Coturnix japonica: one gene and its partner. The protein of the gene in region 1 purifies or fractionates together with the protein of each later gene. This does not show direct contact. Links are inferred from orthologs where the notes say so. Each region holds a gene or a part of one and is shown on either strand. Other genes may lie near its edges.

What was found. The genes of interacting proteins can lie anywhere in the genome.
Region 2: the proteins of SOST (region 1) and LRP5 purify together in Homo sapiens (affinity purification with mass spectrometry; 3 studies listed by BioGRID and IntAct, counting the BioPlex papers as one, with this or other methods). This does not show direct contact. The link is inferred for Coturnix japonica from reciprocal best matches to the Homo sapiens genes SOST and LRP5.

Annotation. Positions count from the first base shown.
Region 1 is NC_029542.1:2,887,159-2,891,113, forward strand, and holds the end of SOST (sclerostin), read left to right. Parts: intron 1-1,444; coding exon 1,445-1,895; 3' UTR 1,896-3,313; downstream 3,314-3,955. UniProt on the Homo sapiens protein: Negative regulator of bone growth that acts through inhibition of Wnt signaling and bone formation.
Region 2 is NC_029520.1:8,358,934-8,363,822, reverse strand, and holds the start of LRP5 (low-density lipoprotein receptor-related protein 5), read left to right. Parts: upstream 1-1,729; 5' UTR 1,730-1,826; coding exon 1,827-1,914; intron 1,915-4,889. UniProt on the Homo sapiens protein: Acts as a coreceptor with members of the frizzled family of seven-transmembrane spanning receptors to transduce signal by Wnt proteins.

The DNA.
Region 1 (3,955 bases):
CAGCTGGACTGCAGGAGGCAAAAGGACTCAGAGCACTTCCAATTGGAATTCATGCCCAAATGAATGGGAGGGAACCCTCTTTGGCAGAGGTTTGGAAGTAGGTTTACTGCCTTTAACCAAAAGTCTGATGTTCACAATGATGTGAAACACCAGCTTTGGGAGGAGGGATGGAAGGCAGAGGGAGCAAAGGAGTTTTAGAGGGAGTACCCCTGGAAATAGGGCAAACTCAGTCCTTCAAACCTACATTTGGCTGTCAAACGCACATAGCATCCCATCACAGGGGTCAGAAGGGGCCTCTGGAGGTTAAAAATCAGATAATATTTTAAAAACCACAACTAATAATATTTCTAAGTGCTGTTCTGTAGGGTCTGAAATCCCCCAAAGGGAGGACTGTGCTTCCTGCGGGCAGCCCCACATCCCCCACTCAAGGCAGGTTGGTTCAGTTACATCTGCAAATCCTCATTTGGAGCCTCTGGCTGCTCTGATGTCCATTGGGGTCCATCCCACTGAAATACAATGGGGTTTGGGGTGAAAAAGAGGGAGTGAAGGGTATTTATTGCCTGAAGTGTGGGAATTCCATAGCACTACTGTGTTCCCCCACCTGGAATGTTAGCTCATGGTCATTTAAGAAACTCTTCCCTTCTGCAGAAGAGTTTAAATCTGGAGGGAACCTCTGAGGTCAATAGAGTTGAACCAGAGCAATGGGGAAGGCTTTCCCCATGGTAAATGAAGCCAGTGGAACTCCCCATAGAGTAAGCCCTGGTGTTGGGCATTCCCTGAGCTCACTGCTCACCAACACAGCCCTGTGTGGGATTTGCCTTGTGATGGGGGTGGACGTGGATTCATCCACCTGTTCATGGTGATTCGAGGGTCTCACAACTAGAGCAACCTCAGGGTTTTTGGAGACATCAAACCCCTCATTCAAGGTGAATAAAGTGCAGTGAGGTTGGGTTAGAAGAGACCTTACAGCTCATCCAGTTCTTGCCATGGGCTGGGTGCCCCCCAGCAGCTCAGGCAGCCCACTGCCCATCCATGGCCATGGGCACCTACAGTGATGGGGCACCCACAGCTCTGGGCAGCAGTGACAGTGTCTCATCACCCTCTAAGCAAAGAATTTCCTCCTCTCACCTGATTTAAATCTTCCCTCTTTAGTTTAAAACCAATCCCCCTTGTCCTGTCACACTATCAGACCATGTAAAAGTCACTCTCCATCTTTTTTGAGCCCTCTTTAAGTAGTAGAAGGCCACAATGAAGTCTCCTCACAGCCTTCTCCAGTCCATACAAGCTCAACTCTCAACCTAACTCCATAGGAGAGGTGCTCCAACCTCTGAGCAACCCCATGACCACCTCTAGATCTGCTCCAAGACCTCCACATCCTTCTCAACACTGAGGGCTCAGAGCTGATGGCTCTGAGTTCCCCTCCTTGTGGATGGGAAGGCAGCAGTCACACACTAACACCCATCTCCTTTGCAGATGTCTCCGACTTCAGCTGCAGAGAGATGCGCATCACCCGCTACATAACAGAGGGGCCGTGCCGCAGCCTGAAGCCTGTGAAGGAGCTGGTGTGCTCGGGGCAGTGTGTCCCATCCCACCTCCTTCCCAACTCCATTGGCAGAGGGAAGTGGTGGAGGCAGAACTCCCCGGATTACCGCTGCATCCCAGCTCATACCCGCACTCAGCGCATCCAGATGGAGTGTCCCGACGGTGAGACTCGGACTTACAAATTCCGAGCTGTCACAGCCTGCAAGTGCAAGCGCTACACTCGATACCACAACCAGTCCGAGCTGAAGGACTTTGGGAAGGAGCCTGTCAGGCCACAGAAGAACAAGAAGTCACGTCTGTCCCGAGCCAGGAGCAGCAAACCGAGCCAGCATGAGCTGGAAAATGCCTATTAGGAGGTTGTGCCAAGTGATGCAGCCCAGCAGCTCTGGATATTTTATACCATATACAATGGCACGCACAGGCTGAGCACGAGGGTCTGACTGCAGGCGGTTCCAATTCCTTCTGCTACGCTGGGTCTAAGGCTCACATAGTCAAAATCCATCAGATGATAGCGGTTATGATCTGATAAGAGAATGAGATAAAGCGAGCTGGTGGGAGCTACATTCAGTCTGAAAGGAGGGGACACAATGGGGATCAGCATGAGGCCACCTGGTTTGTACAAGGAGAGGGAGGCGAGGTGGTTAGGGTGACAGACATATCACACCTGGTTAGGAGTCATTCTGCTTGCTGGATGCAGAAGGAATGCCACATTCCTTTCCCTTTTCTGAGTCCCATGGTGCAGGACAAGCAAGGTGAGGCCCTGCACTCCCAATGGGTTGGGGGTGTTAGGGATGGGGAGGTTGGGGCTGGGTCTCAGCTGGAGCCAGGCTACCAGAAGTGAACATCCCCTGCCAGGTGTCCTCATGCCCCAGTGGTTTCCTCCAAGAAAGAAAACCAAAATATGACATTTGTGCTCTCACAGGCGTGACCAATCTGTGTCACACTTCTAATTAGAATGCTGTAGGGTCAACAGGTTCAGAACTGAGAGCTGACAACCAAATCATCCTATTAAAAAATAGGAGCAAGGGTTTGGTTTAGGACCAGTTGAGTGAGTTCTCCTAAGGGAAGCAGTTTTACTAAATGGATGCTCCTCTCAAGCAAGATAAGCAAGATGTTTGTCCTATAAACAGCTAATTGTGTGCACGGTTTAACATAAAAAGATACTGATTAGTCCTTATTTCTTAGTACACAACTGACTTTAGTATCAACCTAGATATCTCAATGTACATTACATATTCTGTAGACTTTGAATTACGTGGCCATACACCTTGTAGAGCTGAGACTGTGCAAGCCCAGTTCTGGGAGGAGGGTTCTGCATGAGAAGTGGGCCTCTGCTAAACTGAGAGTCATGAATTCCTTTAGAAGAGTCTTTGGTGTGTGCAGTGTCTTCAGTTTGACAGCAACTGTACTGAACTTCTCAACATTCAGACTAAAGTTTGTGTTTTCCATTAAAGAATATTACTGGGAAGCAAATAGCCACACGCTGTACATATCCTGTAGAAGTGCTAGGCCTAGTATCAGGTGAACACAGATCATATAAACGATGGCCATTTGCCTTGTTGATTATAGATTCTGCAGTTATTTTGTGTGGGATCAGATATCTAGAGAGAAAAGCTATTGTTTCAAAGAGTGAATTATGTATTTATTTTGTCTAAAAAATTATTTATGCAACGTTTTCCCTTGTAGAGAAGTTATACTGCTTGAAAAAATGTTAGTCTGTCATTGTGAATTTTAAATACATTGGTAATAAAGTAGAAACAATGATTAATTATGGGAAGACTCATTGATTTTCAGCTGCAGTACGGAGCTGTTTGCTGTAAAGGCAGTGAAATACAGAACTGGAGCTCGGCTCCAGCCTGGGGCATGCATTTCTATGATACAGAGCACCGAGATCCTTAATTTCCAATTAATAAATGACACATCTCTAAGGCTACTCTATATCGGAGCTTCTCACCCCTGGGCATGATACTCCTCATGCAAACATCATCTTGGGCAGATGCGGAGCTCAGAGTCCCAATGCACCATATTCATTTCTACTCCCCAGGGTAAGAACAGCTCAGCAGACTCAGCTCCCCACCTCCTCCCAATAACACTGATTCACAGTCTGATAATCCCATCAAAAAACACAAGAATGCCACCGACTTTCAATCAAGAAATCTTGATTGAGATCTGATTAGATTCATAAAGGTTGGAAAAGGCCTCTCAGATCAGGAAAAGTCCCACTCCAACCCATTTGCCTTTCATACCAAATCTATACACTCCCAGTTCTTCCCAAACAGAAGTATCCATACCACACCCAGAGGAAAACATTGAAAACAGCATTTTCATGGGCTAACCTTGAACTGAGGAAGCATTCCTGGGCACATGGCATCCATAGGACAAACTCAGAGTAACACACACTCCCAAGGGTCTT
Region 2 (4,889 bases), on another chromosome or scaffold:
TGTGACCAATGTCCTTTTAGCAAAGGTGTTGCTGTTAAAGTCTTAAAGATGCATAAACATAATATCTGATAAATATAAAATCTGATAAGTCTATCTTTCCTAGCTGCCTGCCTCCATAGCCTGGTCTTCCTTTTCTCTGTTTCAGCTTGGAGACTGCACTTTAGTCTGTTAATTAGAGAAGGGAGAGGGCTGCCAAGCAAGAACACCACATACTTTGGAAATAAATTTTCATTCCAGCTCTGCACTACTGCAAAGGACGAACTTCCACATGGTGTGAAGCTCGGTGGGCTGTGCCTGCAAATAGTCCTTCATCACAGCAAAGGTTGGTGTGGGGCTCTGAGCAGTCACTGGTGGATCTTCTCAGTCTCAGTAACTCTCCTTACAGCAGGTACTTCCCTTTGAAAAATGCTGGTCTCTGTTGAAATCTCTCAGTCAGAACCATCTTTATCTCTTTGTACAAAGTTTTGCCATTAGTGTTTCACAGCGGCTCTGATCTGGGCTCTGGTTTATTGTGGAACTTCTATCAAGGAAGACCAGCTGCTGGTTTTCCCATCTTAAAGAACGCTGAGGTTTAAAATGCCTCCTGGAATCGGACATCTTTAAAGTAAGCATTCTTTATGTGTTTAACAAGCAGGAAGGTAGAGCAGGAAGCTTTATTTTCCTTTGTGGGTTAGTGTGAAGGTCAGTGCTATAGACCTTCTGTAACTCCTCAACACTATCCCAACATTAAACCCTTCTTAAGAAAGGGGGAAACCTGCACCTGGTGACCATCAGGTCCCAAAAGAATTCCTGAGCTTTTAGTCCCACTGTTGGAGATGGGTAGTGGTCCATTGGGCACTGAGAAGAAATCTGAACCATGGCTGCAGAACCTACAGCAAGGCAGATCTATTAGGACACATCCATTGTCTGAAAGGAAAAGCAACTTTTAAATATCTATTGGTTAAGCATGTGATTTATGAGGGAATGCCTTGATGATGCTGTCTGTGTATAGACTGTAGTATTTCTATTTCCTATGGTAAATTTGGTGTTGGCACAAGGGAAAATGGAGACTCCAAGGGAAATTCTTGACTCCGTCCCTGCTGTTGAGGTGTTTGTGGTAGCTGGGAATGAGGGAGATGTGGGATGTCTGGGTTGCAGGTGGCACAGCTCAGCCCCTGCCATGTGTCACAGAGCAGCTTCTGCCCATTTCTCACCGCTCATGTACTTGTATCAACAGGCTGCGTGTTTGATGGGGGGAAAAGCAACTGAACTGCTGCTGGAAAGTGACTTTGTTCGTGATGCGAACACAGAGCACTGTGAGGAGATGCTCGTATTGCTGGGAAGAGGAAGGTGAAGGAAAACCCCCACCTGGGAACAAAACAGCTGCGTAAAGGAGCAGGTAAGCGCACACTCAGCGCAGATGCACAAGTAGTTTCTTTGTAAACACACAGTGAGCACTTTTGTCCGCCCCTTCTCGTGCCCCTCGCGTTCTGGGGGGAGCCGGGAAAGAAGCAAAACAAACCCAAACGCTTCGGCAAGAGACCAGGAGCTCGAGGATCCCCGGCCCGAGCCCGATCCGCCGCTCCCCGCCAGGTGCACGGCGCGGGCCTGTGCGGACGCACGGCTCCTCCCCGGGCCGCCTCGCGAGCGGGAGGATCCCAGCCCCCTTCGGGGAGGCAGGAGCGAGGGGGGAGCGGGCGGAGGAGGAGGAGGAGGAGGAGGAGGAGGGCCGGGAGCGGCGCCTCCCCCTTCCCGCCTCCCTCCCCGCCGAGCGCAGCGCCCCGAGCATGGAACCTGCCTGAGACGCTCGGCGGGCTCCGCTCCGGCAGCTGCTGCTGCGGCACAACATGGAGGCGGCGCCGCCGCTCCCGCTGCTGCTGCTGCTGCGGCTCCTGGCCGCTTCGGTGCTGCGCTGCGAGCCGGGCTCGGCCGGGGGTGAGTGCTGCGGGAACGGGAAGGGGGGGCGGGGAGGGGGGGGAACGGCGGAGGGAGCTGCTGCCCCTTTTGTTGGCGGAGTTTGGAGAAACTTCCCCTGAACTCCGCCGGGGCGAGACGCGCACATGGACGGGACGGGACGGGCGGAGCGGGGCTCCCCGGGAGCGGCTGCGGGAGGGCGGGGAGCCGGCGTGTGTGCCCGCAACTGCCCGGCCCGGGGCGCGGAGGGCTCCGCCGCACGCAGAGGCCTCCCCGTCCCCTCCTCGCGGGGACCGGGCTGCACGGGGGGACTCTCGGTGGCCGCGTCCGGTCGCGAAAGAGAGACAAAAGTCGTGTGCGCGTTCCCACCCCCCCCTCCCCCGCGCCGCGCTTCCGCGGTCCCGGATTTGTGCGGGGTTTGGAGGAGCTGGTGTCGGGTGTCGCTCACGGGCGGAATCCGAGGCTCGGCGGGGCTGCCGAGGGGGGTGGGGGAACGAGGCCCCCCCTCGGCCCCCCCTGCGCGGCCGGGCTCCGTCTTAGGGCCGTGGGCGGCGGGCGGGCGCTGGGCTCCGCACGTGCGGGGCTCCTGCTGCGCGCTGTGCCGCGCTGCGCTGCGATGCTTCCCGGCCGGCTGCGAAAAGTCGGTGGTGCGGCCGAGTAGGGCAGGAGGGCACCACGGGGCCTCCTTTATTGGGCCACCCACCTTAACGAAGCGGCTGCAGTTATTAACGCTGTCATTGGGAACGGGAGCGCTGGCTGCTGGCATCGCCGCTCTCTATTTTTAGTTGGAAGTTCGTGTAGGTGTGTGTGAAGTTTTGCTCGTTCTGTCCTGTTTCCGTGAGGAAGGTGTGCATCTCGGAGTGCCCCTTCTCCTAACGCTGACCTCCGTCTTGCCAAATAGTTTCAGAAAAGCCAAAGTGAGACTCGTTCCATTCTGAGCACTCGTGTCGGTGTGAAGATGTTCGGACTTGAGTGAGTTAAGCTATGCAGCTTCAAGAAGTGAACTCACAGCTGTTTTATATGGAGCATGAGGAGCTCATAGTGTTCCTCGTGGCTGCTACACGTTTACTTGCTGGTCTTACAAACGCCTTTGAAATATTTAGTGGCCTTTGACTGGGTACAAGGATGAAAGTTTTTACAATAAGGGTGGTTGCCCAGGGAGGTGGTGGATGCTCAATGCCTGGGGACACCCAAGGTCGGGCAGGACGGGCTCTGAGCACCTGATCTAGTGTAGGTGTCCCTGCTCATTGCCACAGAGTTGGCCTTTGAGAGTCCCTTCCAACTCATGCAATTCTCTGGTTCTTATTTATTAAGGAGAGAACTTTTAATAGTCTTAGGGTAAAAGCATAATGCAGTTCACGGTGATGTTAAGTTGTAACTTGGAGGATGAATTTGTTTCATCTCATTGTAGAGGCAGCGCTTTTGTTATCGTGGCACTGAGTTGCTGCCTTCCAGACCTGTTGATGAAGCTGTGAGCCCCAGGGATGAGCGTGCTCTGTGCACGTGGGGCAGAGCAGCTGTGTGTGCTGAGGAGGAACCTGCTTCCAGCTCCCCGGCCCTGTGAGCAGACGCCTGACTTTAAGGGGCTTTTACCTCTCAGAAGTATTTTGATGTGCTTATCTCACAAGTACGTAAATAGATCAGCAGGATTGGGAATGTGCTGGAACTTCTCTGGTGTTGAAGCTTCAGCTTGGTAGAGTGGATTTGGAATGCTATGGCCATGAAATAACTTCACTGTGGAGCAGTGTCCTTGCTCTGTATGTGGTCGTGGCAGGAGTTGGTTTTATTAACGTGGCTTGGAATAATGATAAACCTCTGTGAGATGTGTGTTGCACTGACCTGGAGGTGAGGCAGGGCAATTGCTGCACTTGCTGCTTCTGTGGAGGGAGGGCTCTCTGCCTCTGAGAGTTACTCAGGAACTATGGCAAGGGTGTATTTTTCTCTGAAAATATTGAAGTGCTTAATGCTGTATAGCAGATGTTTTATGTCTGGCTCTTAAAAAGTAGAAGCGTTTGAAATAACTCTCGTTAAAACGTTACCTTCAGCAAGAATTGCTCTTAAATTCACCGGAGCTGGGTTAGCTGCTGCCTGTGGTGTGCTGTACTGGGAGATGGTGATTTGCTTTAATGGGATGATGATTTGTCCGATACCAAGACGTGCAGAATAAAGACATCTGAACAGAGGAGTGTGCTGGATCATGACAGAAGCTTGGAGCTTGGGATGCACTGTGAAATAAAAAATGCACTTGAGCACAGCCCTTACAATGGCTTTTAATTCATACTGTTTTTCTTGAGATAATCTAAAACTGATGAAACTTCTCACTGTGCCTAAGTGTGGAATGTAGCAAGATGGAACACGTGTTTAATTTGGTGACGAGGGAATGTGCTGTGTGGGAGTCCCTATGACTTCAGTGCCGCTTCAGTCAGTCCTTCATTGGCTCAGGGAGCTCTTCTGGTAACCACTGCCAGCACAGCACGAGTCATGGGCACAGGTCCTCTGGGCTAGAGAGACAACACCGGAGCTTCAGGCTTACCATGAAGTTTAAGCTCATATTTTCCAAGTGCTGGCTGTTCTGTCTCCAGACGAAGGCTTTCAGTCTCATTCAGGTGTGGTCTCTGAACTCATTTGCTAAGTCTGAGCACTTTAAATGTACTCTCAGGGTAGATGTTTACATAATGAATGCATCAGTCAGACACATAAGGTCAATACTTCAGAAGAGCGTGAATGTATTTCAGCAGTAGCCCAGTGTGAATTCCATCATTGCCTTTTGCTATTTTAAAAGTTGTGGGTTTTTTTGTGCTTTTGGGTTGTTTTTTTTGTTCCTCAGCTGCTTTAACTTTTATTTTATGATTGTTCTCACTTGCTTATAATGTAATAATAAAATAGGCCTTGGTGTTGTTCCAGCGGTGAATTATTTTCTATCCTGCTTGTTTCTTGGATAATACAAGCCAAGGTGACTTGTAACAAACACAGATTGTTTCTGAGAACTTGTTATG